4 linked regions of the Alligator mississippiensis genome follow. The protein of the gene in region 1 binds, or shares a complex with, the protein of each later gene. Links are inferred from orthologs where the notes say so. Each region holds a gene or a part of one and is shown on either strand. Other genes may lie near its edges.

Region 1 (7,532 bases):
GGCACCACCTAAACTCCTCCTGCAACTCCAACTGTACATCCTGCATTTTGCTTCCTCTTCCAAATCAATGCATATGTATCTATTCTGCCCACCCCTCTTGCACTCACTGCTATTAGAATTCTCTCCAGAGCAGATTCACCTTGAGTGCTTTGCCCTGAAGCTCATCAATGATGCCTCGGATTTTTCCCAGCAGAAAAGGCCAGGAGTTGATGAGGTAGATCCGATCCATCATTATTGTAATGATGCTGTACCAGCGCTGAAAGCCACGAGCCAGGCTGTCTTTGATGAAGAACGTGTGGCTGAACACAAAGCCATGCTGTTCATCGCCAAAGAAGATGGGACCTTCACGTCCTGGGCAGACCTGGAAGGGAGAGACTGGTTTAAACACATCATTTAACTGAAACAGCATCATGTCCCCCCCAACCCTCTCTCTCAAAGCTTGATAAGTTTGAAGAGCATAAGGTGAAGACACAAACACTCAAGTTAACGGAGGTTCTCCCACATACAGACGAAATGAGGAAAGTTAAAGATCCATTCAGAAGAGTTCAGAAATACTTAAAGCAAATTAACTTAATCACTAACAGCCTTTTTGTGTCTCATGAACAGGCGCAAACTAACACTTTCTTCTTTTCCAGATCAATTAAAAAAAGAATTCCTGCCAATAACTGGCTCAAAGTGGTTTTGCTTTCCCTTCTACCCCCGTCCCCATCTGTTACAAGGGTGAGAGCAGCAGTGTAGTGCCTTACGCTAAAAGGCACAGAAGTCCCTGAACAGATTTTCTTTCTGTTTCCCACATCACTTACCTCGCAACTCAGGCTGCGAACACAGGCCTGGCGCACAATGCTGAAGAGCTGTGGATGGTTTGGGTGCTGGTGGCTGACATATTTGATTGAGGTCTCTTTGTCGTGGCTGACATATCCAGGGTGTCCTGCTGCAAGGGAGCGGCAACCCTGAACACAAAAAACCACCAAGTTAGGACACAACCATCTACCTAACGTAACCAGGTACTTCTGTTACTGCAGTACCTGAACTCTTCTCTCCACCTTTTCTGCCTCACTACATCCCCTTTGCTTATCCTTATTTGATAGATGGGAACCAAGAGAGTCAGGGGCTAAGGGATTTGCCCATAACCAGAAAGAAAGTCTGTGACAGTCTCCCAACTAGTATCCTGCCATTTGAAACATCCTTCCTACAGTGCTCTTTTCACTCATGCACAGAGCCACGTATTTTATGTTGCGTATGCAACTTCAAATTCACCTAATGATGGAAGTAGCTGCGACTCCAGTGACTTAACATCTGTCAGTGATACCCGAGAGAAACCAACACCTAGCAACAAGTCCTCACGAAAGGTATCAAGAAGACTTAAGCAGAAGAGCACGTGCACAGAAACATCAGTGCTGCTAACTACACTTCCACCGCTACTTTACCTGGGTGTAGGACTTACTTTCTGCTCTACATCTCTATGAAGGCACTGGCAAACAACTGTGATACTTTAACTAGAAACTGGCTTCTTTCCAATGGAGGTGAAATAGTTGTTACCCATTACAGTTTAAAAGGGTGTGGGAACTATTTGTTTTCCTCTTCAATTGTAATGCCTTTTATCTAAGCCAAGGACACACTGTGTACAGACACGGGCACACATTTACCTCACACATGTCTGACTTCTTTGGCCCAGGACTGCTGGAGTCAGCACTGGCACCCTCCGCCGGGCTGTGCGACCGGATCCTACTGCTCATCTGAATGCCACCTTCCTCCTCCTCGGCCTGCTCGCTCTGCCCAGGACTGTCTCCATTCCCCGCGCCTTGAGGAAGGGGCGAATGCAAAACTTCTGTGCAAAACAGGGTGCGAGGGCCGTGGAGCTCGCAGAAATGACAAAGGGCAACGATAGCATTCATTGCGATAGCTTGGCTTGCCCGTCAGGCCTCCTGCAAATGAGGAAGGAAACAGCGATGTCAGCATAAGGAACAGAGTGAAACACCCTGCGCCCTGTTTGCCACTAGCCCCGTTCTTCCCCCAGCGGGAAGCCTGGAGACCGGCTCGGCTCCTGTCTCCTGAGGCCGTGCACAGCTACAAGGCCACAAATCATACTTCTGGCCGTGCTATGTGTCTCCGCACTAAGTGGATCCGTCAGTTTAGTGCAGGGCACGGGGCTGACCCAGCCCGTGCGACTCCCCAGCCACCCTGCAGCACACCTGATTAAATCAGCTTAATTGCCCATTTGGCACCTGGCTTCTCCCCAGGACAGGGGGGCACCTGCCTCCCCCAGCTGGGACCCGCTGTGGGAGCGCTTGTGGCCGAGCCGGGACCTGACCTCCCCCCAAGGAGCACTGGCCTGGCCAGCCCCACAGCGGGGTCTGGTGACCCCCAGCACCAGCACGTCTGTCCCCACAGAGCGAGCACCCAAGTCCCCCGCTGTGACCGCATTGAATCCCCCCCCCGTGGGGGCAGCAGCCCCTGCCCCTCGCTGGGCCCTCCCGTACCCCAGGGCCCAATGCGGGGTCCCTGCCCCCCCCCAGCAGGCCTATGGGCAGACCCCCCATCACAGGGGTCACCCCCCAACATGGATGCCCCCCCAAACAACCCCCCAGCAGTGACGTGACTCCCCCTGCACTGGTGTGACCCCCATGTGAGGGGTCCCCGTGCAGTGAGGTAACCTCATGTGAGGAGTCCTGCCCCCCCCGCAGTGACGTAACCCCCCTGTGGGGGTCCTGCCCCCCCCGCAATGATGCAGCCCCCCGTGTGGGGGATCCTGACCGCCCGCAGTGACGTGCCCCCCCCGTGCCCCGCCCCCAGCAGGGACCAGGCTCCCCGCGCCCCGGGGTCGCGACCACTCACCCGGCGCCTCCTGGTCCCCCCGCCCGGCCGGTCCCGTGGCTCAGTCCGCCTGACACAGCCTGGCAGGGCGGCCCATACCACCTGACGGGGGGGGGGAAGTGCCCGGCTGCCCAAGCCGTGCGGCTCGCGCCCGTTGAGGAGCGCGGCGGGCAGCGAGGAGGCGATACGAACACAACGGCCGCCCCGTCCCCCACCGTCACCTTCTCCGCTCGTCTTGCCAACCCACCATACCCCCCCCGTCTGTTTGTATGGTACAACCCGAGGCTATCCCACTCCACAGGCTGAGGACGGAACCATTTCTTCGCGGGGGGTTGGGAGCGTTGGCGTGGCAAGGCCGCCTGCGGCGGGTCGCACGCGAGGGTGCAGCGGCGGAGCCCATTGACGATAGTAGGGAGAGGGGTGGGAACAACTGTCCTGCTCTGCCTGATAAGGTGCAACCGCCCCCCCCCCCCCAAGCCCCGCGGTGACAGGAGAGATGGTGCGGCCCGTCAGGCTCAGTCATGTGACATATACAAGGCTGGGGGCGTGGCCTGCCGAGCTGGGTGGAGCCACGTGCAGCAGAGACCCCAGCAGTCGGGAGCGGGAGATAGTGCATTTACTGGAATGCAAGACGAGGTCGTCCCCCCCCCCCCCTTTTATATTCACATACAAGGAAACCTCATGCAGTGCAGCCTAGCATTGCCTTTCCTCTTGCCTGTGGGCAGCAAACCAAAACTTGATCACCACCCCAAGTGGGGTCACAACCCCAGCAGACAGGGTCTTGGGGTGCAGGGGAAAAGTTCAGGACACAGCCTCTACCCTGAGGAACTGGCTAGGAGCAACCACCTTAAGCTGCAGCAGGGGCACATTGAGGTTGGAGATGAGAAGAAACATTTGAGCTAGGAAGGTGGCCAAGGCCTGGACGGGGCGGAGAGGAAGTGTAGAGTCTCCGTCCTCAGAAGTTTCCAAGAGCAGGTTGGACAGGTGCTTGGGTAGGATGGTTTAGCCAGGGATGATCCTGTGTTGGCGAGGTGCTGGACTAGATGTGACCTGCTCCAGCCTGCCTTCCCTATGGTTCTACAAGATCTGCACCTTATGGACTAACTAAGACAGAAGGAAAGCACAAGCTTCTGTGAACACGAGGTCGGTGCTCAAGCGAGGTAATCTCTGAAATAAAGATGCAGAGAAGTAGACACATTAAAAAGAGCTCCCTGTACCTTTTCCTTTAGTCTTGGCATCTCTCTCTGCACGTGCGCTTTCTGTCCTAAAGGACAAATGTCCAAAATCCTTCCCCCACACATCCCCTCTTAAATACCAGGCACGCTGATTTTTTTTTTCTTGCTCAAGATACCAGCATGCAGGGTGGTCCAAGGGTAATTGGTGCCCCTAGGTGAACTGTGCACCCACCATTTCCAGTACAGCGGTGGGGTGGGTGTGCTGGCCACGAGAGAGGGGCACTAGCAGCACCGGGGGCAGAGGTGATGCAAGGTAGAGCTGTAGCCAGACAGGGCTGTTATTTAGAATGATGTTCCCATTATTTTGTTCTGCATATAATTTTGGTGCCCCCCCCCCCAATTTGGCGCCCTAGACAACTGCCTAATTCACCTAATGGTTGGACTGGCCCTGCCAGCGCGTCTTGTCTGTCTTTAGCACTAAGCAGAGATCAGAAAAATCCCATCCTTGCTTGTGCATGGACTACAGCCCTCCTCATTACTTGAACTTTTAATCTTACAGCACACAAATCTCTATCAGCACAAAACTTGATCAGCATGAAGAAACACTGAACAGGCCAGCTCTCCTCCCTTCCTCCACAGCTCAATTTGTAATTGTGCTTCCCACAGCAAGTTTACTTGTTGCAGAATATTTAGTGTTTTATCACCTTGATTTAGACCTATAACCTAACCTCCAGCAGTAATAGTAATGGAGGTAGATTCACCAAAAGCTTGTTTAGAGGGGAAACAAAAAAATAATCCCTATATTGGACATCTAAACAGAGCAATGGTCTATCAACGGCTGTTGGTGAAGTCTGATCCATATTGTTTCAAGCCAATAGCTTGTTAAATCCCTGCTAAATAAAACATGGCTAGACTTCACAATTCACAGTGGCTGTCCTGAAACATGATATTTAAAGATGTGCTTTGACACAGGAAGCTGTGCCAAGAACTACACTCCCATTAAAAAAATACACTGCATGTTCAAGTATTGGGACCACCACAGTACAGATTCACAAGACTTTTCTCTGACACAAGCACACAGTATTTCTTCTTGTACTAGAGGTAATTGCTAGACCCTATCAGAACTGAGATTTCTGTATTGTCCCATCTCTATTTCCAAAGTAGGTCTAAGAACCCTCCAAAAACAGATATACTTGTACAAATCAACCAGCCAAACAGCACTTTCCTTTTCTGCTAGAGATGCCTCGTGAGCTTCAAAGCTTAACCAGTATCTGTTGAAGTGCTTGGTGGCAAAGTGCAAAACATTACCACATGCACCAGCCTGAAAAGTCTCATTCCAACCCCTGAGAATTACAATTCCTTGATAGAGTAAAAATGACTTAATAAGGGGGGGGGGGGGAAGGAGAGGGTTACTTTACAAAAAAATCCCCATAAAGTAGTAATAAAACCAGTCTGGAAAATCTAGCATCTCCTTCTTCCAGGCCAGCCAGAGTGTATTTAAAACAAACTAAGAAGAGTTAACTTGTTTGTGATCTTTATTTTTCCAACAGTACATTTAAACAACTTCTCAGGACTAACCTCCTCAGCCAATTTTGCCATGCAGGGAGAAAAAAAAAATAGAGTCATTTCCTAAATTGTACAGTTAACCTAGGACAACACACAGAACGGGTCACAATCGCCGTGTCGTGAAGGGAGAGGAATGGCGAGAGGAGCAATTTTAGTCAGGCAGCAGCACCTGGAGCAATGCAACAATATTGTGTGCGCGAAGCTCAGTAAAGGAATTGCTCAGTGGCACTCCTCTGTGGCAGGAGCATTACAAAAATTGTTCACAGAACAGTGGGGAGCCATTTAATTTGTTCAGCATTACACTCCCTGTTAAACATCTGAACTGAAGCCCCACCCCGTGGCCAACTACCATCATTGCAAGGCAGGCCACATCTTTTTTTCCTCCAAGTTAAAATGCAGTTAACAACTAGATGCAAAGTGTAGGTTAGGGAGTGGGCAGTTTAACTGCTTAGAGAACGGGGAAGAGGGGAAAAAATGCTCAGCATTAACAAGTGTAAACTGATCTGATCCACCTCTTCTGTCTCGTCTCGGGCTAAAAACAGACTTGCCCCTTCTCTAGAAAAAAGCCTTTTGTAATGGGATCCTAGTCCCACACACCCATTGTCCCACTTCAAGTACCCGTGAAGTACCAAGATAAGATGTGCTAATGCTGTTTCCCAGGACAATCGCAGCCCATTCATTCCAAGGACAAGCTAAAGGGATGTGCCAGTCAGGTCAGAACTACCTCAAACACAATGTCTGTTTTTAGCCTTGCAGTAAATGACTGATCCGTGGTAAATTAAATGCTCTTTCATTTAGGGTAAACTGCCCCAGTTCAACTTTAGCCTAGTGCAGGATGAACAGAAAGCTAGAGCAGTCAGACTGAATCACAGTCAAGTCTCTGCTTCCTCCTCAGAACACTTATTGCTCACCTATCCACACCCTTATTTGAGAGTGTGCACGTATCTAATATTTTGCGAGCACCTTGAGGACGTGCAAGACCTGAAGATGCGGCCACAGGATTTTGTGTATGTTAAAATAAGACAAGTCTTCTATCCAGTGTTCTTAAGCAGTGTGTCTTTTCTTACCACAGGGAAGCATTCACACTAAATCCAAAATACTGAAGCATCCTCAAAGCTTCTCAGTTCCCCATCAGGATGTGAATGGTCCTGCACCTTCTAAAAGCAATTCAGATGAAAACAATGCAAAGACTCAGTTTGCAACAATTTCCAAGACCTTAATGATATCAGAACTGAAACACTGCTTGTCTTACCCCAGTGCATCTTGGTGCCTTACGGTTCATGTCAAACCGAACACTTGGAGGTGGCATTATCATTTTCAAAGCTGTTTTACCCCAGCTATGAATGTGAGAGGAAGAGGTGTGGCCAAATTCTCAACTGGCTTTGAAATGTTTAAAACTCACATTTCTAACACAGAAATAAAAAAATATTGTGCTATGAAGAACTATGCAACTTGAAATATTACATAATACTTGTACAACATTCGTTTATAATATGGGGCTTACTTTATGCAACTCTGAAGGTGTGATACCGCTACCTTTTATCAACTGCATATAATAAACGCTAGTTTGCTTCTTGCGGTATTATAGTCTGCTGGAGTTATTTGAGACAAGCCCACAGAACAATAACAGGACCTGCTTACAGTATAGTTCAGCTGCCACTTACAAGATCAAAATAAACTTTCTACCGTTAGAACTTCAACAAAATACTTTGGGTACATTTACTTCCCACTTAAATGATTCCTCTTTGATTGAGGGAACATTTTGACATATTTGTATAAGTAGCAGTTTGTGGTTAGACATTTTCTATATTCCTTGGGTGGTTACTGTACCTAATTTCACAGGCTTTCACAACAACTCCTCACTCAAGCCTGCAGTGCCATCAATCTTACACTTGACACATTTCCATGGCGCCAGGGTAGAAAACTGGATAGCACATTCAGCATTTAATCCTGCAGTGGTTTTAATAAGGCATTTAA
Region 2 (7,491 bases), on another chromosome or scaffold:
CCAAAGCCAGCTGAAGTTGTGCAACTGCCTTGCAGTCTAGTGGCTTCCCTGTGGCAGCAGCTGACTGCAGATGAGCCCTTGGTTACTTCCCATTTTGGAGGGGGCCACAACAGCCGGAGACTTCCGTAGGGCCCGTGCTGCCCAGGCAGGAAACAGGCCCAGCTGGTGTCATATCATGGGCCCCAGGCACCAGAGAGAAGCCCACCCTGGAGAAGGGAGAGCTCACGCCTCTCAGCTGCTTCCTCCCCATGTTTCACTGCCTGGGCCTCGTCACTTACTATAAGAGCACGGGACAGTGTTTTATGCCTATACTTGAGGGGTGGAAAAGTGCAGAACACGGACCCATGCCGATATGCACACGCATCCGCTCCCAAGGCTGTGACAAGCCACCCTGAACCCAACCCCCATCTGCTCCAGTCCGAGGGGCTCTGGGGAGGCAGCGTCTAGGCCCAGGCAGTGCCAGGAACATCCACGCAGCGGAAGGACTGAAAAGGCAGGTCCGGATCCTGTATGGGTGAAAGTTCTGCCTTTCCTGCTAGGGAAGAAGGGGCCAAGCTTGGGTTTGCACAGCTGAATAATGAGAGCTTGCAAGGGTGTGTCCTGCACCAACTACACATGAACGCCCTCAAATGTGTGTACGGGCAGGCCTAGGAGGGGAGGAATTCAGAGAGGTATCAGGGCCATCAGCTCCAGCAAAGCAGGCTCAGGCAGTCTAGGCAATCAACTAAACTCTCCGGACAAAGGGCAAATAAGTGTCTGGCCCGGTTGGTCTCCATGGTGATTCTGCACAGCTGAAGTAAGGAAATTAAGGAAGGTTTAGAGACAAATGCAGAGCGAGACTTTCCAGTAGCAAGCTTGAGCAAGCTGTTCCACCACTGACTAAGCACTGGGTTTCCAGTACCTCCTTGGGATGGCTCAACTGTCACCAGACCAGCAGAAGGGGCCAGTTTCAGTCACCAGGTGCTTGGTAAAGCCAGCTGGATCGTGACCTAGTCAAGACAAGCCCTTGCACTGGGTTTGCCTATACACCTCCACCCCGCTTCACTCCTGTTGCAACTCGGGTGTGCCCCATTCAAAGCCAGACCACATCACCAGAGCCTCAAAAACAAGAGTCCTTTCAAGCTCTCAGCAAAGGAAACACAGCTCTGATTGAGGAGCAGCCTTGCTGCCAAGTCAGTCATTAATTAACCCTAGAATATTATTACCATCTCCATCCTTCTGGCAATCCCACTATCTCCAATGTCACTGGATAGCTGTCGATTAGGTGCTATGAGACGCAATCTGGGGTCTTCCTGGGACAGATTTAAGCAGCAGCTCCTGTCTGTCCAACATGCATGCACTGACTTCACACAGGGGGCAGCTTCTTACCCCCTGAAGCCAGGTAAATACCACTGTGTGCAAGGCTTGGAGGAGATGGGGTATCCTGCATTTGGCTGGTTTCCCTACATCAGTTGCTGGCTAATCTACCAAGAACAAGGTCCAAATCTCTGCCCCACGCTTGCACCTAGAAGTCTATCTGGACCGGGATGTGCAGGCCGTCACCGAACGCAAGCAAGCACGTTCCAGAACCGCAGCGGTCCTTCCGGTGCATGTTGAACTCAAACCAACGCTCCTTACAAATATCTGATTCCCACTAACTGGTGGCCACACTTAAAACTTATTTTACATTCAGAGAGGTCCTGAGCTCATTCATTTGGGAAAAGGCCAGAAGACCAGGATAAAACATAACTCCCACAGAGCGAAGGAAGATGCTGTCTGCGGTCCTCCCATCTCACTTTTGCAGCCGCTTTGTTCCAATAGGAAGGACCAGCTGAACCAGATTTTGTCCACAGGGTTACCCATCCCACTCCCAAAACCCACCACGCACTGCCAGCCAACCCCAGGCAGCTCTGCGAGAGCCACCTGTAAGCGTGCAAAGGGAACACCGTCTCCAAGGCTCAAGCCGGTCTCTGTCGAGGCTGCCAACCAGGGGATTTAATTAGCGTCAGCTCTGCTGAAGGGTTTGGCAAAGCCGACGCCAGCTTACCGGGAATTTAAAGGAGGCCCCTAAACTTCTTGCACAGCTACGAATCTGCCGTCACACCGGCACTACTGGCAACTCGTGCTGGGTTCGAACCAGCGCGCCGACAAGGAAAGGGCCAGGGACGAGCGGCGGTGGGGCCCAGCTCCGTGCCACTGTAGGCACGAGGCCTCCGAGCCCTGGTGAACCCAAGCCGAGCACCCCGACCAGCAGCGCGGAGGGCAAGCAGTGGAAAGAGGCGGCCTGCTCCCTCATTTTCTGGCACCAGAAACGACCCAGCAGCGGAGGCTCCCCCCGCTCGCCCCGCAGCCTGTAACGCAGCGACCGGGGGAGGAAGGGACCCGACCGACCAGGTGCTGCCTTCGCTTGCCCACAGCAGCCGCAGAGGAAACCCGCCCCCTTCCGAAGGGAAAAGCCTCCGTCTCCACCAGGGTCAGGGCAGACCCACCCCATGGCCCCGGCCCCGCCCCGCCTCCTAGGTCACCCCGCAGGGTGGCAAGCCCTGACTGAGAGCCCCACCCCCCTCCGCCCACGCACCAGCCCACCACGCACGCGGGGGCACCCTCCCCCCCAAGCCCGCAGCGCTGCTCCCAACCTCGCCCCCCCCCCCCCCCCCGGGGCGAGCAGCCTCCTGCCCCGCGCCCCCTCCCCGTGCCAAGTCCCTCCCTTGAGGCCTCAAGCCCCCCCTCCCCAAGGGCCTACCCATCCCCCCCCCTTCAGGGACCCCTCTAGGCCCCTCCCATCCGAGGGTCTCCCACCCAAACCCTCCCCTCCCCCTTCAGGGACCCCTCCCCCACCTGGTCGGAGGCCTCGTTCTCGCTGCTGTAGCAGCACCCCATGGCCGGGCCGAGCCGGGCCGGGCCGGGAGGCGGGGGCGGGGGGCGCTGTCCGGCTGGGCCCGGCCGCCCCGGTCACATGAGCCCTCGCTCCAACAACAAGCGGGAGGGAGGAGATGGGGTGGGTGAAGTGGGGGGGGGGGAAAAGAGGCGGCCACTCCCCCCGGCCCCACTCCGCCGCTTCCGGGCACGTGACCCGCCTGCCGCTCCCCCGGCACGTGACCGGCGGGGAGGGGGAGAGAGAGCGAGAGAGAGAGAGAGAGAGAGAGAGAGAGACAGAGAGAGGGGGGCCAATCGGCGCGCTCCGCTGGGGGTCACGTGGCGAGGGAGGCCGGAGCCCGGCGGGGGGGGGGAACCGGCCGCGCGTCCCTTGGGTCACGTGATAGGGGGCAGGGCTATAGAAGAGCCTGGGGCTGCGTGGGGTGCTTTCAGACAGGGTGTCTGGGTTAACTGGGGCTTCAGCGCCTCCAAGGGTGGAGACTCTTTCTTCTGTTTGACTCCTAAGTGAGGGAGTTTTTCCAGCCTCAACTTTCCTTGCTGCAGCCTGTGCCCATTGCCCCTTGTCCTGCCAGCTGGCCCTGCTGAGCGCAGCCCAACTCTGTCCTCTTTGCAACCCCCCCCCACCCACCACCCTTGGGGTGCAGGTGTCTGAGAGGGAGACTTGCACTTGCTTCTCTGGATGCACCCGGGACCGTGGTGTCCTGGATTGGTTTCCCCCACCCAGAGAGTGGCAGGGGCACCTTGCGAAACCTGCTGGGGAGCGCCTGCACTACATGCAGCGGTTAAATGCAATGGTTAGCGTGGGTTTTTTTCTTTTTTTACTGTACTCCCCTGCACATGACGTGAATGAAGACAAAAAAAGGTCTTTCCTGTTGTAAGTCACTGAGTCGCAGCAGCTAAGGAGCCCAACCCGGTTCGTTCTTCCGCTCTCGGTGGATGGGGTGGCTTGTGCCACGTGGACGCTTCAGTGACTGAAACTGCTATTGCCATATTTCTTTGCCTACAACGTGCACCCCTATTCCCAGCCCCTGCTTTTTGGGGGAAATGGCGTGTGTTGTACGTGAGCCGATGCAGGGATTCCTGTGTTTAACGAAGCCAAACCCCAGCTGTGGGGGGCAGGTCTGGAGCTGGCACACCTCTGTGCTGAGGAACCTCCTGTGTCTCCAGAGCAGGAAGGGAAATTTGGGTGATGCACCTGACTGTCCCCATTCGATCAACAGGACACACAACTGCTGCACGTGGTAAATGGAGCGCAGGCAGCCTCGGGCTGAGCTTTATTTACAGTGGCCTGGAGGTCCGGCTCCTCTGCTCCTTGCTGCTCCTTTCCAAGCAGAGGGCAGGCTGGTGTGGCTGTTTCCCTCTTTCACTTCCCCTAACCCCAGCTCATCCTAGTGCTTCCTTCCTTGCCTTGTAAAAGGTCTGTTCTCCACCGAGGCTGTGAGGCTCCGAGGCAGGAGAAGCAGAGTGGATTTCAGTTTTACCCTTCTCTCCGTCCTGTGAGCCACAGAGCTTGTTCCTCTTCGGCCTCCCACATGGGCCACATCTCCTGCTTGCTATTTCCAGCCGCTAACCGGAGAGGCCCTGCCTGCTCTTGCATATTTCCCTGGTGAGAGAGAGAAAATCGAGTCCGTGATCATCCCCAGGAACCGCATCCTGGTCCTTTGGAGCTACTGGAAGTGTCTGGGCATTGTTGCTCTCTGCATGAGCTTGCATCACAGATCAATGCATCATGCACACCTACACGTGTGTATCCTGAGAGAGCACGCTCTAGTCCTGCCTTCGAGAGCTTTTAGCAGACCTCTTTGTGCGTGCCGAGGCAGTAACTGCTCTCCGTTAGCTTGCTGAATAGAGGCCTGGGATCTCCGAGCCGATGGGAAACGGGACTTGCAGCCAGTCAGTTGGATGCTTTGCAGATAGGAATTTATCACCACAGTTGCCTGAGGCAGCAGCCGTTTTCTGTACAGAGATGACCAGCACCTGACCCTTTCTCATGCACTGTCATGCCATTCTCTAGGGAGCTGAAGTTCCCCATCTTTTTCTTCTCTTCATGTCACTACACCACATTTGACCGGGTTTTTTTTGTTACGCATGCTTCTGCTCATTTTTTCTACTTTGCGGGATCTCTTACTTTACACGTGCCTTCAAGCAGCAGGCATTGCAGCATGTGTTGCATAGTCTGAGGCTCTGTGCTGCAGTCACAGGTGGGGTTGACCCAATGGCATATCCTCACTTCTTCGTTAGTTCCTTGGAGTATCCAACTCTGGTACGCAGGCGGTTGAGACATTGCCACCTTTGCCATGGTTCGTCAGCCCCCCGGTGCCAAGAACTCAGCTGCTGGAACGTCCATTTTTTTGGTTTGGGGGGGGGGGGTTCCAGCCTCATAGCAGAAGCATTCACGTTGTGACCCCTGTCAGCTAATCCCTGGTAATCCCTGCAAATTCTGCTAATGCTCCAAACCATGATTTTGATGTTCCCCATAATAAGCTGTGACTCTCATTAGCCTTGCAGAGCTGAAATACTGACAGGAGAGGGAGCTGTTTTCCATCCTGGCTCTCAAGATTGCCGGCTGGGCGCAAACTGGACAGATCACAGACCCCTGGGAGAGCAGTGGGGCTGGAAGAGACCTCACGTCTGGTCCAACCCCCTGCCTGAGGTAGCATCAGCCCTGTCCAAACCATCCCAGGCAAATTCACTGTCCAACCTCTGAGCAAAACAACAGTCACCGGACACAGCACCAGGCATCGCACCCAACCCTGCCGCAGGGAAGGCAAGAGGGACTGCGGCTGCCAACGTTTGACAGTGCAGTCTCAAGGGACACTGTCAAGGACACATGGTGCTTCTGTGCCAGAGCTAGAGCAGTTCCCAGCTACAGAAGCCTCATTCCTCTGCCCTTTGGACGCTCCTAGGTGAAGGCCAAAAAGGAAGGGGGATTTTCTGTCTGGCAGTAGCTTGCAGAAATGCCTGCTCAAGGGTTGTGGTGGGAAGCCCCTAGGAACCAAAGTGTGTCTGTCTTAACTGGGGAGATTTTGTCCCTGTTCCAAACCAGGGTCTCTTCCCTAGATGCCTGTTTGGGCACCGCTGCACTGAGGCAGTTACCTCCAGCCCCAGGAACCCTGTCTCGGGGCAGGCCTGTCTAAACAGCCCTGGACAAGGCAGTGAAAATGCCCTGCAGAGCACTCCCCTGGACTAGGGAGCCCCTTGTTCCCCGGACCATCAGGAGCTGTAGCTAGAAGGCTACATCATTTCCCAGCCCAGTCAAGAACTCATAGAAAATTCAGGTTGGAAGGGACCTCAGGAGGTCACATCTAGTCCAACCCCCTGTCAAGCTGGGTCTTCAAAACCTCCAAGGATGGAGACTCTACCACCGCTCTGGGGAGCCTGTTCCAGTGCTTTAGTACCCTCCCCATGAGAACATTTTCCTTAATATCCAACCTCAACTTCCCTTGCTGCAGCCTGAGCCCGTTGCTCCTTGTCCTGTCATGTGCCCCCACTGAGAATAGTGCAGCTCCATCCTCTTTGCAACCCCCTGCAGGGAGTTGGAGGCTGCTATTCAATCCCCCTCGGTCTTCTCTCAGTCATGGTGGGGGAATCAGCCAAGATCCCAGGAAGGTCCCATGCGCCTGCAATTCCAGCCCTGCCATGACCACACTGAGAGCAGCGTGTAATTGAAGCTTTTGGCTCAAGTCACTGGCTAATTACACGACTGTCCTGCTCTGATTCATGCCTGGAGAGTCCTGTAACTTTCCCTTTCTTCCCCAAAGCAATTTCCTCTGAAGTCCAGTGAGTACCAGGTCACGAGGGCAAGGATAAAACATAGCAATGCTTCTTTCACCTGCTGAAGGGCCGGAGGCTGAATGCATGGGTCTGGACCTCTTTGCAGACCCTGGCTCTGGTTAAATGATGGGTAAAATTAATCTCTTTAGTGTATTGACCGCCTTTCTGCTGCTTGATGCTTGTCCACCTCCCAATGCTGCTGTGAAACAGGGTTGGCATGAGAGACTTGGGTGATAGACAACATGAAATTCAACACAGACGAACCAAATAGCCACATGCAGGGCAGTGACCGCTGGAAAGGATGCACTGTGTCCAGCCTGGGGGGCGACGTTTTAAGAAGGACGTAGAGAAGCTGGAGGGGATCCAGAGGCGAGCAATGATGATGCTAAAGGGGCTGCAGTGCCGCTATATAAAAAAAGAATGAGGATGAGGTGTGGTTTGGAGGACAGGAGACGGAGCAGGGGTCAGAGGCTGCTGGAAAGCAAAAGAGACTGGCAGTGCCCCCAGCTGAACAGGGCAGGGTCTGAGGCAATGGGTTTGTTGAGAGCAGGGCTCAGGAAGGACTTCCCACCCATTGGGGCCACAGGGCACTGAGACAAACTGCCTGGGGACGGGGGAATCTCCTCCCCTGGGGCTCCAAGCAGGGGCTGGGCTGGTGCAGGAGCACTGAGGATGCACCTAGGCAGGGGCTATACTGAAATAGCAGCGGGGACTCAGGGCTAGGACTGAGGTGACTGGCAGGTGGGGGCGGGATTGGGCAAGCAGGGGAGGCTACAGGGGAGAGATGCATTTGATTAGAGGGTATCGAATGCCTGGCGCTGTTGGTGCCAAATAACTTTGAGGTAAACAGGCTCTTCCAAC
Region 3 (6,521 bases), on another chromosome or scaffold:
TTAATCCAAGATGTTTCCAATACAACAAAGCTGTCTGCCTTTAACTAGACAAGATTAAAGGTTTCCTGTAAAGGGACTTGAAGAATGGGGCATGTGCTTTTTTGACTTTGGTGTCAAAAGGCAGCCTGAATGAGTTTGATTTCCCCGCCACCCCCTAAGGTACAGAAAACAGAACTTATCTTCCCAAAAAGTTGAGGGACTGCTAATAAGCAGGAAGTAACCTTCCCTGAAAGGAAGGAATAGTGACTCCTAAGCTTCTGTCTTTCTCTAAAGTGTTAGATAGTGGTGTACTTCCACTTCACCTACCAACTGAAGTGTTGAACTCACTGCATGTGTTCTCACTCATTGGATAAATGAATAAATGATGTAAGGCCACATACTATACCTTTTCATTACAGAAGCAAAATAAGTGAAACCTCATTTTACACTTGACAGTACATGTCCTGTAATGTGCTGGAAATTAAAGATGCTGACCGATATACAGTAGCAGTCTAAACACACAGGAAAGTTACCAAGCATTTAATAGTTGGCCCACGTGTAGTTTTACAAGCACATGCTATATTACAGAGGGAGGTAGGAGTCCAACAAGCAGAAGTTGTTGCAAGGGTGTCGAAACAACCAAGCAGACTGGTGAAAGGTCAAGATGCCAGTTTGTGCACTGCTACAGTGATGCCATCGTGCTTCTTGATCATGATGTTCCTGAAACAGCAAATATTTAAACAGTTAGAATTTTCCAAGACTAGTAGCTCATCTCAAAACCAGTGCTAGAAATGCCTTTAGGTTTAGCATATGCCGTGGCGTGTCAGAGGCAAGATTACACATAAGATCTAATGAAAGAAATACTTGGCTTGCCATCTTTACTAATTACATCATTGTAGGATACATAACATTTCCAAGAGTCTCCTTGCAATTCAAAGTTTGGAAGTACCTTGGAGTGTTTAGGTGGGCTGTGAAGGCAAGTCTGTCTACCTAACTTCCTTTGTAAAAATTGATTATAAACAGGAACATAAGCACCATAGCATTGCTTCGGTAGTCATAAATACAATGCAAAAGTGACACTAGCTGGTCATTCTAACCACTTCCAAAAAGCCAGCAGTACAGTTAGAAACAGGAATGGGGGGTGCATCTCAAATGAGCATCCAGTGATTGTAAGGACACATGGGTCTCTCGCAGTCTCAGAAGATGCTCATTTGAGACCCCCCCCCCCCCCCCCAATTCCTAACAAACAATCCCTGGATAAACTCAAGAGAAAGGACAGGAACAGTCTCTCGATGTTCCCTTGGCGCAGGCCCTGCAGGAGGTGCCTCTCGCCCTGTACCTCCTTCCAAGCGGCGACACACAAAACTTAAAAGCCACCTGGAGATGAAGGAGGCAGTTCTAAGATCCCAGTCCCAGAAGCGTTCGAGCAAACCAAGGAGGAAAAATAAAAAAAAAACAGCAACAAGGATGGACACCCAGACACTCACCCATGATCCGATTCCAGACACACCACAGGGATATCAGTGGGGTCTGAAGTTAACTTGGCTGCCTGCTGAGCCAGAACTGAGATCACCCCTGCGTGTTCATCAGAAAGCGTCCCGCGACCTGCAGGGCACGAGAGAGATCTGTATCCAAGTTCACCAAAACAAGTGTCTCGACAGCAATCGCCAATCACACCTGCTTTGTACTTCAGCCGAATGTCTTCCCGAACTCGGCCGTCTTCCGCAACATCTCAAGGACACCCAAAATGATCTGAGAGCTGCTTAAAGAAGTGCTGGCCAACGCGCCCACGCTCCCCCTCCCCCACCTGAGTTGGGTCTGAAGATACTTGTGCTTTAGTAGGGTCAGATCTCCTGGGAGATGCAGGTGCTCGGGCTAGAAGCAGGATGCCAAACGGAGCGAGCCCGCGGGGCTGGTGCTGGGTCTGGGGCGGGGTTTCCCTGCCCAGCACGGGGCTGGCGGGCAGGGCAAGCATCTGCCCCCTGGCACGAGCCAGGCGCCTTATGGAAACGGGGGGGGGGGGGTACTCACAGCCCAGGTTCAGCCCTTGCGAGTCCGTGCACAGCACGCCCACGACGGACGGGTTCTTCATCCTGCGGGGCAAAGCCACAGCTCGGTCACTCGCCCGGCCCCGACCCGCCTCGCCCCCGGCCCCGGCCCCGGCCCCGCACGCACGTGTCCTCCAGGTGCTGCTCCAGGGCCCCCTCCATGGCGCCACAGGCTCGGTCACTTCCGCCCCGCTCAGCTGCCGCCCGTCACGTGATAAGCGCTGGAGCTGCCGGACGGGTGCTGCGGAGCCTCAAGATTCCCCGTAACGCGAAAGGTGTAGAGGGCGGGATTTGCCAGCCGTGCTGCTGGAACTGAGGCTGGAGCGTGGGAAATGGAGTCCAGCGGACGTGCATGGAGTCGAATGAGGGTGCATTGAGGCAGACCAGTGAGGGGTGCAGTGAATCCAGTGAGGGGTGCACTGAGAGGTGTACTGAGTCCAGAGAGCTGCGCCTCCCCTCCAGGGCTGGGGGTGCCAGGGTTGGGGAGCTGGGGGCGGGGAGCAGCTGACCCCGCTCTGAGGAAGAGGAGCCCAAAAGCTCCGCGCGGCCTGGCTGCCTTCATCCAGGGGCGAAGCCTGTGTAGGCGCCGACTCCGTGGGTGCTCTGGGGCAAAAGCACCCACTGAAAAATATGAGTGGGTGCTCAGCACCCAAGAGCCACAGCCATTTCCTGCTTGCCGATGTTAAAAAGGACCCCAGCCCCCCACGCTTTACCGAAAGAGGTAGCATGTTACTTCAACCCGGCTCTGCAGCATCAGTAAAGACTGAGCGCTTCAGCAGGGCGTTTTGACACTTGTAGCTAAAGCCAATTCAATCAGCTATTAGATACAAAAAGCGCCACTAAAGTGCCCAGTCTTCATCGATGTTGCAGAGCCGGGTTGAAGTAATGCTGCGTTGCCTCTTCTGGGCTCAGCACAGGAACGCGCCGAGTTTAAAGTGAATTACCATTTTGTTTTGCTATGGCTGCAAGCGTCCACCGGCAAAACCCAAAGTTGGTGCCTATGCAGGGCCATCAAACTGCACCCAGGTTGCCGCCCAGGCTGTGGCCTTGATTCACAGCTGAATCAGAGCCGTGACTCCTCACTTCCTTGAGTCCTTGTTCTGCATCCTAGGATAAGCTGCTGTACTGCAATGGGGGGAGGGGGGGCAGGGGACTGTGTTAGACAACAGGAAGTTTTCTTTCTCCTGGTCACTGCTTTGCACCAGGGAATAACACATGAGTGCTTTGCTTTCCTCTGCAGCAGTGGCTCTGAACACTTGCTTGGCCCTGGAAAAGCAACCGCCGTTGTCCAAGCTGCCAGTGCCACCTTTACATCCCCACCCAACTCCCCTTTAGATCCCATGTAAGTCGTCTCCCCAGGACATGGCAGCTATTTGTTACTGTCTACTTTTTAATTAGCTGTGTGACAGAGGAATAGGCACAGTACAGAAGGGACGTGGCTGTGGCCCTTCCTGTATTCCCCACTGGAGGGCACTAAATCCACATCCTGCACCAGCACATTGTGCATCATTTGCACAATATCCACAGCTGGCATGTAGGCGATCATATCCAGTGCGCAGCCCAGCCTGACTTTCAGCCCAAACACCAGTGCTCCTGTGGCTGGAAGTGTGCACCCAGAGAAATCCAGTCCATGAAGACCTTTCCAAGCACAGCAGGCTGGCAGTGGGCAGCACCAACACAAGCATGTCCAAGCTAAGAGCAGTTTCCACGCCATGCGCAGATTCATGGCTGCTCCAGAAGGGAGTAGCACATGTGTGCTGTTTGCAGGGCAAGCCATCTAAGCCCTCAGCCAGCCAGAAGTAGCTCAGAAATGACTGGACTCTGAGATCCCTCAGCAGAAAAAGATGAGATGAGGGATGTGCCTTCTGAGTCTCTCCCCCATGCCAATCCTCTGTTATCCTACATACTGTGTCATCACTCAGTGACACTGCTGTAAGGTGGGCGTAAAATGCTGCAAGGTCATGTTTTACGTTTGCTGGCGTTGATGACGCGAGTTATGTGGTGATGGTGAATCAGATCCAGAATCTATAGAGCTGGGCTTAGGTGCTTTATTGCATTACATCCTTCCTGCTGACATAGCTTTACGTAGCTGCCGGGGAAGTTGCCAGCATAACTGTCACCTAAGAGGTGTGATCATTTCACGCTCCCTACGCAACGTGGCTTTGAATAGCTGCAGTGCTAAGCAGACCTGAAGCTGTACAGGTGTAGATCCGAACTGAGACCCTTGCTGCTTGTTGTTCTGCTAATAATACATATGTGAAGGCTTGGAATGAGGTGTGTTAAAGAAACCCCCCAACAGGTTCGCATGAAAAACTCATGCGTGATGAATTGCCATGACTTGTTAGGTCTCCCGAGCATGGACATGAACAGGAACACACACACACACACACACTCTATCCTTTTCAGAAACCTTTCGGTGGGTGGCTAAATAAATCATATTCAGGGTTATTAGGTTGGTGCTGTTGCTTGTGCTTATAGAGGCTTCAGCTCCTGAAAGATGCAGATGAGCCACAAGGGCTTCCTCGCATGCTTCCCTGCAACTCAGGGGCAGGCAATTATCTTGGGCAGAGGGCCGCTTACTGAGTTTTGGCAAGCCATCGAGGGCCACATGACAGCCCAGGGCAGATTAATATTAATTTTCTAAATTTTTTTAGGGGCCCCGCGGGTTGGATAGAATGGCCTGGCAGGCTGCATCCGGCCCCCAGGCCACATTTTGCCCACCCCTGCTGTAACTCTTACTCGCCCAGCACAGCATCTCGCTCCATGTGAAGCCTGTTCAAATCGATGGGCCACATCCCCCCCTGCACTGCTTCAAGTGCCCGCATCTGGAAGGCCATTCAGGGTATATCTACATTGGAGTCAAGGGGTGACTGTAGCTCACATACATACATGAGCAGATGTGTATGTGTATATATATATATATATATATATATATATATATATATATATGTGTGTGTGTGTGTGTGTGTGTGTGTGTATACATATATGTGTATATATATATATATACAGTACACATACACATATCTGAACTAGCTTTTACCTAGCTGGTCAGGGTGCTGCTAACAGGTTACTCACAGCAGAACAGCAGAGATTCATTCAGGATCCTGGGTAAATACTCAGGCAGCTAGTCTCTGCTGAGCTCCATGCTGCCGAGGCCACACTATTTTCATCACCCGAGGCAGCTAACTCACCCCCTTTATGCTGAATTATTTCTCAGTGCACAAAACTAATGCAGGCCTGCTGATTTGAGTGGTTCGTCGAGGGGATTGTGCATCCGAACTCTTGGGTTCTCCTCCCTGTTCCAGAACAGGGTGTGTTGGGTCATCAGAGCCAGTTACTTCTGCCCTGTGCTTTCCCCATCTGTAAAGTGAGGATAATGATGGCCATCTCTTTTGTAAAATGCCTTGAAATCTATGGGAGGAAAGTCCCCTGCGAGAGCAAGGTGTCTTTATTATTATGACTGGCTCTAGACTCAGAGCTTATTCCAGGCTCTGCTGCTGATTTACCATGTAGCATTAAATCTGCTGTTTTACCCCTCCATGCCTCAGTTTCCCCCCAGCTCTGAAAGAAGCATGGCTAATTGACCTTGTAAAGTGCTTTGAGATTAATGGACAAGAGGCAGAGACCTGGCTGCAACCTGTCTCTTCCTGCATAGATGACAGGCACACCAGAGCACAGTGAGGTTTGGCCTCCTCTTGCAGCAGGTAGTTGGTTACAAGCATTAAAGGATGTGGGGGGAGAAGGCAGGGAAGAGGCAGGACGTGAAGTGTTTGATTCCCCCTTTGGGCAAGAAACCAGGGCCTTGAATCCAAAGACAGAAGTAATATGGTCAAATCCAGGGAAAAGCCAGTGTGGCCTGGATTTGGGCAACATCTTATCATGCAGACCCTGGGCCCAGCAGAGAGGTCCCAGTGCTTTGAAAGGGATACTACCCTCTCCCTTGGTGAGATGAAGGATGTGACACTCCAGCACCCTTCTTCCACGCCCCCTGCACAGCCCCAGCTGGTCAGTCCCAGGTTCCCTATGTAACAATTTGAATTGCATGTCAGGTCCTGTATATTAAATCAAATGGGACATCAATTCTGGGGCATCAGCACTCGCTCCCTGATGAGAAAGTCAGAAGCAAGGAGACTAATGTCCCTCTTGATATTTCGCACTGCCAGCAGGGAGGCGAGCTGAGTATAATCCCATCTGTCAGAGCAGCACAGGGCCTGATTGGGAGGCAGAGTGAATTACCTGGAGAGAGGGAAGTTTGTCATTCTGTGGATGCGGAGATATGAAACAGAGACAAAGGTCCTCCATCACGCCAGAGAGCTGCAGCAGGGCACATGGCATGCCTGACCACGCAGAATGGGTCCCTGAGCCCCCAGGATCCCTTGGTGCACATGCTTGTACACAGCAAGGACTCACTGCACGCACCTACTCCATCATTGCCTCACAGACCTACACACCTGCGCACAACAGGTGCTCATACGCCATACACAATGCACGCAT
Region 4 (7,898 bases), on another chromosome or scaffold:
CATGGCACCCTTCAAAGAATCAACTCCCCAGCTGAGAATCACTGGTTTTGACACAGACCTCCGGAAAGGCAGGATCATTTAATCTAGCGCTCCCTCTTAGCCCCCAGCCTTATTTTTCTTAAGAAAACAAAAAACCACTACTCCAAAAAAACCCTACACAACCATTAGAAGTTGTGAATTACCTTTGATAACAGGCACACCATCTCTGTCTGAGACTACAATAGCATGAAGACCTTCAACACTGTAAAAAGAGAGAAAAAGAACATGAGCATTGGGGAGAATTTCCATCCCAGCCTCCTCCCCGTCTTCCTTTCACCAGTTCTTTTTTTTCCTCAGCATTGTCCCCTTACCCATCTACCAACTCTGCTTATGTGCCTGGGGACAGGTACCAGGGTGGGGGCTTAAGCTTGCTATTGTTTTAGCAAGGACCTCATGACTAGAGGTGGAGGTAGGAGCCCTGCCCCTCTGCTCCGTAACCAGTGATGCACTTCAAGTTGGCTGGCTGGGAGCCACCAAGTGACGGCCTTCACTGGATCAGGTACATGATGTCAAAAGGCCTATATATGCCAAGACTGCCCAGGAGGAGGGGTTGTAGCCATGATGAAGACACAGAGCAGCTGAACATCTGCAGCTCTCTCATCATGTGGACACACTACAAACTGTCTGCCTCCAAAGCAACGCTCTATCAGCCTCTGGATGATACTTGAGAGTAAACCACTCGGAACCCAACTAAATATATAGCCTGTAGATCACGCACTTGTGTTACAAAAGCGACCTTGCCACTGTTTACTTAAGAGTTATTTTGTAGTATTTCTCTATCCTGCACCCTCCCCCAAGCCTCCCCTTTGTAACCAATAAAGTTCTTCACTGTATTAAGTCTGGTGGACTTGTTGGGAGAGGCATGCCTTTGTGCCCCCTTGGTCCGGCTGACTAAGGGAGGCTGCTTTTGTGCTTCAGGCTAAAGGAAGCACCCCAAGCTTTTACAGTGGGTTGAGTACCCTCAAGGACTACACGGTGTGTGTACGCAACCCTGGGCAGTGGCGGGGGTAAATGCCAAGCTAGCGGATATGCTCCAGGAAGGGGGTCAGCCAGATGTGAGGCATCCCCAGGGAGGCATTTGAAGGGTGGTAGGTGGTCAGGCGCAGTGAGGTGGGTGGCTCAGTGCAGGAGTGCCCCCTACTGGCCTGCCACAAAGTACACAAAAGCAAGTGTGAGTAAACTGCAAGGAAAAAGGATGTCACCACATTCCCACTGCTATCACTTAAAGCCTTGCTTAATCAAACAGACCTGCAAAATTCACATCGTGCTGTGTTTATGCACATCTTAGAAGTACGAAGGTAACTGTACCAAAAAAAACAAGACCCCTCATGTGGGCCTTTCAGCTTTAGAAGAGGATTACTATGGGAGATGACCCTTAGTGCAGGCTTCACTGCATTTAGAGTCACAGAGCACATCTACTTAGGGATATCAATCAATACCTTAGGCTAGCTACTTGCAGTTATGAGAAACAGAAGTTACCAAGAACCGCCGATCCTTAAAGAAACAAAACAGACGTTTCCCTTGAGTTCAGTAAGTTATCCGTTCTAGCATACTGTTTCCCTGTAGCGCACAATGAAAAGCAGGTTTGAGCTGTGTTGTGTTAAGGTTGATGGTAGTCTCATGTAGAATTCAGATAATGGATTGCATGGGGTGGCTGAGATAGGGATGATCCTGCCTCATGCAGGGGGTTGGACTAGATGGCCTCTGGAGGTCCCTTCCAGCCCTATACCTCAGCCTACTTCAAGGATGTGGGCGTCTTGTGGGTAGAGTACTACATTTTGAGCTGGCAGGGTCTATTTAAGTACTGAACTGAGTAAACACATGTGCTTTTGTGCCCAAAGACACTCTGTTAGAATGACTCCATCGTGGGGTACTGCAGCACTTTACAGAACACCCAGTGGCTCTTGAAGCATCCTGACAGCACAGACAATACAGTGAGCTCTGCTGCAGGCAGAACAGTGACTCAAATTAAATAGCAGCACACACTCTTCACAGAGCAGCACCAGGGATGATCCACCGCAGGAAATTCTGAGGAAGTCACATGACTGCCCACCATGCCCCTAGATGACACACGACACCCTGCCACACCTCCAGAGGACATGTAACACCCCAGCCTCCCTCCCCCCACAGAAGAGAACATGCTGCACCCGTCAAATTCCTGGGATGCTGTGCTGCTGCCCCCACCTGGAGGCCAGGTGGTGCCCACTCCCCCCATGTAACACCACATGCACCACCCCCCCAAAGGCCACGGGACCTCCCCCATCCACAGACCAGGAGGCCACATGATGCACGTGTGTTACCTTGGTAGCTTTTTGTACAGGAACCTTTTCAGGTCCTAGAAAGAGAGAAAAGCATGGCACAGTTCAGCTGCAGGGTCCTGGCCAGCACACGCCTGTGCCCCAAGTGTAAAACTACTTAAGAAGGGGTGTTTCCTGGTGAGGAGGGGAGGTTCCTCATCCCTTCTTCTGGGGGGGCAGCCCCCGAGAGCAAATCTGCTTCACCTCCAGGCGGGGACTCCTGGCACCAGCTCAGCCACGCGGGGAGACCTCCCCCACCACCCCTCTCCCCGGTGCAGACAGCTGGGGAGGGAGGCCGCGCCCCCCAGGCCCCTGCCCCCGCACTCACGTCGGCCATGCTGCGGCGCCTCCGCTCCGCCGTGCTGCGGCCGCTGCTTCTACAACACAAGCGCCGCGGGTCACGACCGAGCCGCGGCCCAGAACCGCCGCCGGAGCCACAGGCCAGGCCTGCCCCGGGGGTAGGAGGAGGCTTGCCCGTCGGGCCCAGCCCCCGCCAGACCCCTTCTGTGGGGAAGGGGAAGGATGGCCCCCAGCCCGCCTCACCCTGGCCACAGGCGGACGGCTCGTCCCGGGCTCGCGCAAAGCAGCCCCGACTCTACTGCTTCCTCTTCGGAAGCGAGTCACATGAGCCGCCACCTCCCTGCCCCGGAAGCGGTTGCCCGCCGCTGCCTCACTTCCGACTTCGGGGAGGACGGGGTGGGAGCTGCGCGCGCCGGGAGGAAGCTACGGGCTGCGGGAGGAGTCATAGCACGCCGGGCCGGGGGCGGCACCGCCTGGGCGTGGCTCGAAGCCGGCGCGCCGCGTCTCCACGGCAACCGCGACGGAGGGGGGCGGGGCCGGGGCCGGGGCCGGGGCCGCTGCCTGGGAAGTAGGCTGAGGCTCGCCCTGGGAAGGGAACGTGGGGCTGGGGGACCGGGCGGGCGCCCTTTGCTGTTTGCTGCTCGAAGGTCCCGTGGCAGGGTGTCAGGTCACCTGTTGTAGGGCCGAGACCGCAGAGTTGGATCACAGATAATTAGGGTTGACAAGGACCTCAGGAGGTCATCTAGTCCAACCCCCAGCTCAGAGCAGGACCAGCCCCGACTGGATCCTCCCAGCCAGGGCTTTGTCTGCCTGGGTTTCAAAAACCTCCCAGGATGGAGTCTGCAGCCTCCCTGGGTAACCTGTTCTCATGTTTTACTAGCCTCCTAGTAAGAGTTTTTCCTAATATCTAACCTAAACTTCCCTTGCTGCAGCTTGAGACTACTGCTCCTTGTTCTGTCACCTGCCACCCCTGAGAACAGTCCAGCTCCATCCTCTTTTGAACCCTCTTCAGGTAGTTAAAGGCTGCTCTCAAATGCCCCCTCAGTCAGGGCTGCAGCCAGGCCAGACCAAATGAGCAGGAGCCACCTCCATGGCCCAGTGGGCAGGACCCGGCGTGGAAGAGCAGTATGCTGCCATGACCTCCAAGGTGAGGCACCCCTTGCCCACCCAGCAGCAGGCCCAGGCCCAACTCCATGCTGCTGCACCTGTTTGGTCTCTGGTAGCACAGCGCTCCCTCCCACACTGGGTCCTGCCTGCTGTACTGCAGAGGCGGATCCTACTTGGAGCTGGTCTAGCCAGGCTGCAACCCCACACCCTGTTGTGGGCACAGAAATCCAAGGCGGACATACCCCCACTCCCCGCCACATCGCTTGTGCCTACCTCCAACCTGTTGCCTACGCCCATACACCCCCTTCCCCACACATGCACTTTGTTCCCCATACACCCACCCCCTTCCTCACACACTTGGGGGAGCTGGGGCCTGCGGGTGGGGGGCAGCAGGTCATGAGCGAGGGGCACTAGGAGGGCTGTAGGCTGGGAGTGAGGGGCAGCGGCATATTAGGGCTGCTCAGTGCCATAAAGCAGCAGGGGGCGGGCAACCACTACTGGACCCATGTTCTGATGAGTGAAGGGGGAGGGGGAGTTCTGATTTTCCATAATAAAAAAACAAAATCATATGCCAAAATATATAGGTATTTAGAATTTATTATAATGACTGAGGCGCTGGTAGGCTTTCAAATTGCTTTAGAATAGTAAATATATCAGCAAAATGTGGTGTTCAACTGATCCCTATAGAGTGTCATTTCATTTTAATTGTGTAAAAACACAGATTTTGGGGTTTATAGTCAGAGAGATTTGGATTTTTAAATAGAAAAAACCAGGATCTCTGTTCATAACCCATTCCTTTTGTCATAGTTCCTACCTACTGTATAAAATTCAGTAAAAGCTATAGGCACAGACAGTTTTTTTTGTGATCATGTATGCCACTCAACTAAACAGCATTTGTTTTAAGAAATCTAATTACTTTATTAATAAAAACAGCAATTAGGATGAAAATCAGATTATCTAATTAGAGAAGACAAGTGTGGCTGTTTAATGCCCTTTTCATTTTTCTCCCAAAATTTAAAAATAATTTTGAACTGTAAGGCAGATTTTCCAGATGAGGTTTATATTTCAGTGTCATTTATTGTTTTAAATTACAGATATTTGCAGTTATCTACTCCTTTGCAGGACTGAAATATGTAGTCATCATTATAAACAAACCTTCCCCCAACATGACAAAATTAGGTTTTAGATTTTTTTTTGTGTAACTCATTTCCATTATGAACTGCTGTGTATTCACTTTTATATGAAAGAGCTTATAGGCTATCTGGTTAGTTACATACGCTAAGCAGACATGTTGGATTATACTAAACCCCTACAGCTTCAGTTCATTGTAAAGTATAAAACTAATTCCCACCTCAGCACACAGAAGGACATTTGTGTACTGTCACTCTAGTACATAATTTTTTAATTCAAAAGTGACAGCTATAATTCCTTCTTCAGAAGCATATACAATTATAACTTTGGTATTTTTTTAACATTAGTTTAGATATGTGCACCAAATACAGGTATTCCTCACTTAATGTTGTCCTGGTTAACATTGTTTCTTTATTACCTCATTAAGCTATTAGAGAACATACTCATTTAAAGTCACATAATGTTCACTTATAACATTGTTTGGCCGCCACCTGCTAGTAGGTAACTACTGTGATGTAACTGTTAACATTGTTTCACTGAAAGTTGGATTTAGCTGTACATAATAATTATGAGCAAAATTAGGGGTGAAATACTAGCCCCACTGAAATCAATAGTAGTACATCATTGACTTCAATGGGGCCAGGATTTCACTTCATGAAATAGTTTATGGTGCATATATAAATAAATCACTGAACACAGTCCTGAGGTCTGCAAGAGGTAGAGCCCTTAATTCTGTATTCATCCCTACAAGTCTTGTTTTTTTCTCTGTCTCTTGACTACTTTTAAACTAACCACAAACTAGCATGTCATGAACACCCAATACTCTTCTTTTTCAAGTCATTTGCCAAAGGAAATATATTGGAATACACTGGAATGTTGTATTTATGAATAATACAATATTATTATAAATAAATTATTATAAATTAAAATTAAACTATAAATAATTAATTAATTATCATTATTATGTTGTTCTCAAATAAGAATCTTTGTTTCAAATAGGTGGTCATCCTTTAGGTAATTACATGCCTGTTTAGAGAAGTCTCAAGTTATAAAATAATCCATAAGGAATGGTAGTATCAAACATCTATCTAGTAGCCATAACATTTTACCCTAAAAAGGACTACTTGATTATTAAGCTGAACATTTTTTATTCTTAGCCTTTAGTTTGTGGTGCTGAGAATACCATAACATCGTTACTTCCTTTTTAAATGCAAACCACTTTTCATGAAGCAAAACTAAAATGGTTAGTCATCAGAGATGTTTTTAACAGGTAAAAAGATAAGATGGTAGCACAGTTTCACACTGAAAATAATTTTATTTTAATATAAGTCTGATATTACATTAGATATATTAGAAATCAGACAAGTATTTTTTTAAAACCTAACCTTTAAATCTTGACTGCGCTACTGAGTTAGACAAAATAATATAAGATCTTTTTTAAGATGCCAACTTCATTTCACTGCATGTCCTTTTGCAAGGCTTCCATTAAATTTATTAGAGGGGTCTTGAGCACAATTTATTTTCAGTTACTGTGGTGCTTGTTTCAAGAGTCTAGAGAACAAATATTCAAGTTCCTTCAGATTTTTAAACCAAGCAATGCTTTTAAAATATCATTGTCTCAGCTGAGCAAGAGCCAGTGCCAGCAGCAGGTTCATAAATGGATTTGAAAATGGCTTAACATTACAGATATTTCATATTTTATTCAAGCTGAGAATTGCTTTTTTACCCTGTCAGCTTTCAGATTGCAGTGCAGAATGAACAGGTATAATTTTCTTTTGAGAACAAATGTTGTAATGAGAATGTCACTCACTCACTGGAAAAAATAAGCCTTTTAAGATCAGTGACAACAGAACCCACCAAAGTTGGATGGATAATTTCTTGGTGCTAATGAAAGCCCTGTTCTGTGCAAACTTACAGAGGTACAATATTAAACAAATCACAAGTTTGAGGTATTAGCTGGATAAAAGTATGTACACCTATACATCTGTGCACATACAATAGTCACAAATCTACTGGCCCCGAGATCAGCAAACCTTGGTATTAAGAGAAAAGAAATCATGTACTGATCAGGGAAATTATACATGCAGAGAAGCTTTAAAAAAAAACACACTTCACAGAATCCTTAATATAAGGAACATTTCTTTTTAACATGCTTAGAAGAAATCAAATAATCTAGAAAAAAAAATCTATTTTAGTAGTGAGGAAGCCTGAAGTGCTCCAGAAAGATTACAAAATCATCTAAAAGATTAGGCCTGGTCCTACATACTGGGTGTATCTACACAAGATGCTAGAAGTGCAGTAGATTAATTCTACTGTGCATTACTGTGTCACGGCGAAAACCATGTTAATGTGCCATACAATTAGTTAACTGCGTATTAGCTTCATGTAAAAGATGTGTGCCAGCGTTACTACGCAGTAGCACAGATTACCATGCATTAATGCATGTGTAGGTGTACTCACTGACACTTAAACGCACAAAAAACCCAAATGTGTATGAAGACTTAAAGGCTGTTTTTTCCTCCCCATTCCAAGCTTTTCATATCTATTTCCTCCTGCCTTCTAATAGTGACAAGCAGAAACCAACATAAGTTTTGAAGTAGCTACCACTAGTCACAGATCATTGTTTACTTGTTCTTCCACTCTACTGTGTTGAAAAACCCCAAAACCTTAATTCATGGCTTATACTTATTTAACTGGATTTGAAAGTTAGGCTTATTTTTGTTCATGAAGCCATCTTTCATATCTGATTACACTCTGCATAACCCTCTAGGCCTCTTGTCATAACACTTGCCTAATTGATAGGGTAATTCAGGACACAAAGACACCAAATCAGATGCTTCATCAGTTTTAATAAACATATTTAAAAGCTCATTATCAATCTGATCACTGTCCTGAAGTTCCTAGTGGAACTGAGCTTTTTTGAACACCCACCCCCAGCCACAAACGCTGATTATTACTGAAAATCTTTCCTTGCATGTTCTCTCTAAGGGCTAAATCTTAAAATTACTTTCAAGCTCCTGAAGC

Evidence for each region.
Region 2: FLCN (region 1) and LAMTOR1 share a complex: the UniProt entries of both Homo sapiens proteins name them as parts of the lysosomal folliculin complex. The link is inferred for Alligator mississippiensis from reciprocal best matches to the Homo sapiens genes FLCN and LAMTOR1.
Region 3: FLCN (region 1) and LAMTOR5 share a complex: the UniProt entries of both Homo sapiens proteins name them as parts of the lysosomal folliculin complex. The link is inferred for Alligator mississippiensis from reciprocal best matches to the Homo sapiens genes FLCN and LAMTOR5.
Region 4: FLCN (region 1) and LAMTOR3 share a complex: the UniProt entries of both Homo sapiens proteins name them as parts of the lysosomal folliculin complex. The link is inferred for Alligator mississippiensis from reciprocal best matches to the Homo sapiens genes FLCN and LAMTOR3.

The regions. Positions count from the first base shown.
Region 1 is NC_081836.1:54,402,727-54,410,258, forward strand, and holds the start of FLCN (folliculin), read right to left. Parts: upstream 3,017-7,532; 5' UTR 2,836-3,016; intron 1,926-2,835; 5' UTR 1,896-1,925; coding exon 1,647-1,895; intron 951-1,646; coding exon 804-950; intron 362-803; coding exon 140-361; intron 1-139. UniProt on the Homo sapiens protein: Multi-functional protein, involved in both the cellular response to amino acid availability and in the regulation of glycolysis.
Region 2 is NC_081824.1:477,691,783-477,699,273, forward strand, and holds the start of LAMTOR1 (ragulator complex protein LAMTOR1), read right to left. Parts: upstream 3,017-7,491; 5' UTR 2,860-3,016; coding exon 2,818-2,859; intron 1-2,817. UniProt on the Homo sapiens protein: Key component of the Ragulator complex, a multiprotein complex involved in amino acid sensing and activation of mTORC1, a signaling complex promoting cell growth in response to growth factors, energy levels, and amino acids.
Region 3 is NC_081837.1:34,933,788-34,940,308, forward strand, and holds LAMTOR5 (ragulator complex protein LAMTOR5), read right to left. Parts: upstream 2,261-6,521; 5' UTR 2,190-2,260; coding exon 2,155-2,189; intron 2,073-2,154; coding exon 2,011-2,072; intron 1,585-2,010; coding exon 1,467-1,584; intron 700-1,466; coding exon 639-699; 3' UTR 505-638; downstream 1-504. UniProt on the Homo sapiens protein: As part of the Ragulator complex it is involved in amino acid sensing and activation of mTORC1, a signaling complex promoting cell growth in response to growth factors, energy levels, and amino acids.
Region 4 is NC_081825.1:161,212,265-161,220,162, forward strand, and holds the start of LAMTOR3 (ragulator complex protein LAMTOR3), read right to left. Parts: upstream 3,019-7,898; 5' UTR 2,880-3,018; intron 2,874-2,879; exon of another isoform or gene 2,714-2,873; 5' UTR 2,674-2,713; coding exon of another isoform or gene 2,665-2,673; intron 2,375-2,664; coding exon of another isoform or gene 2,340-2,374; intron 2,175-2,339; exon of another isoform or gene 1,600-2,174; 5' UTR 289-1,599; coding exon 183-288; intron 1-182. UniProt on the Homo sapiens protein: As part of the Ragulator complex it is involved in amino acid sensing and activation of mTORC1, a signaling complex promoting cell growth in response to growth factors, energy levels, and amino acids.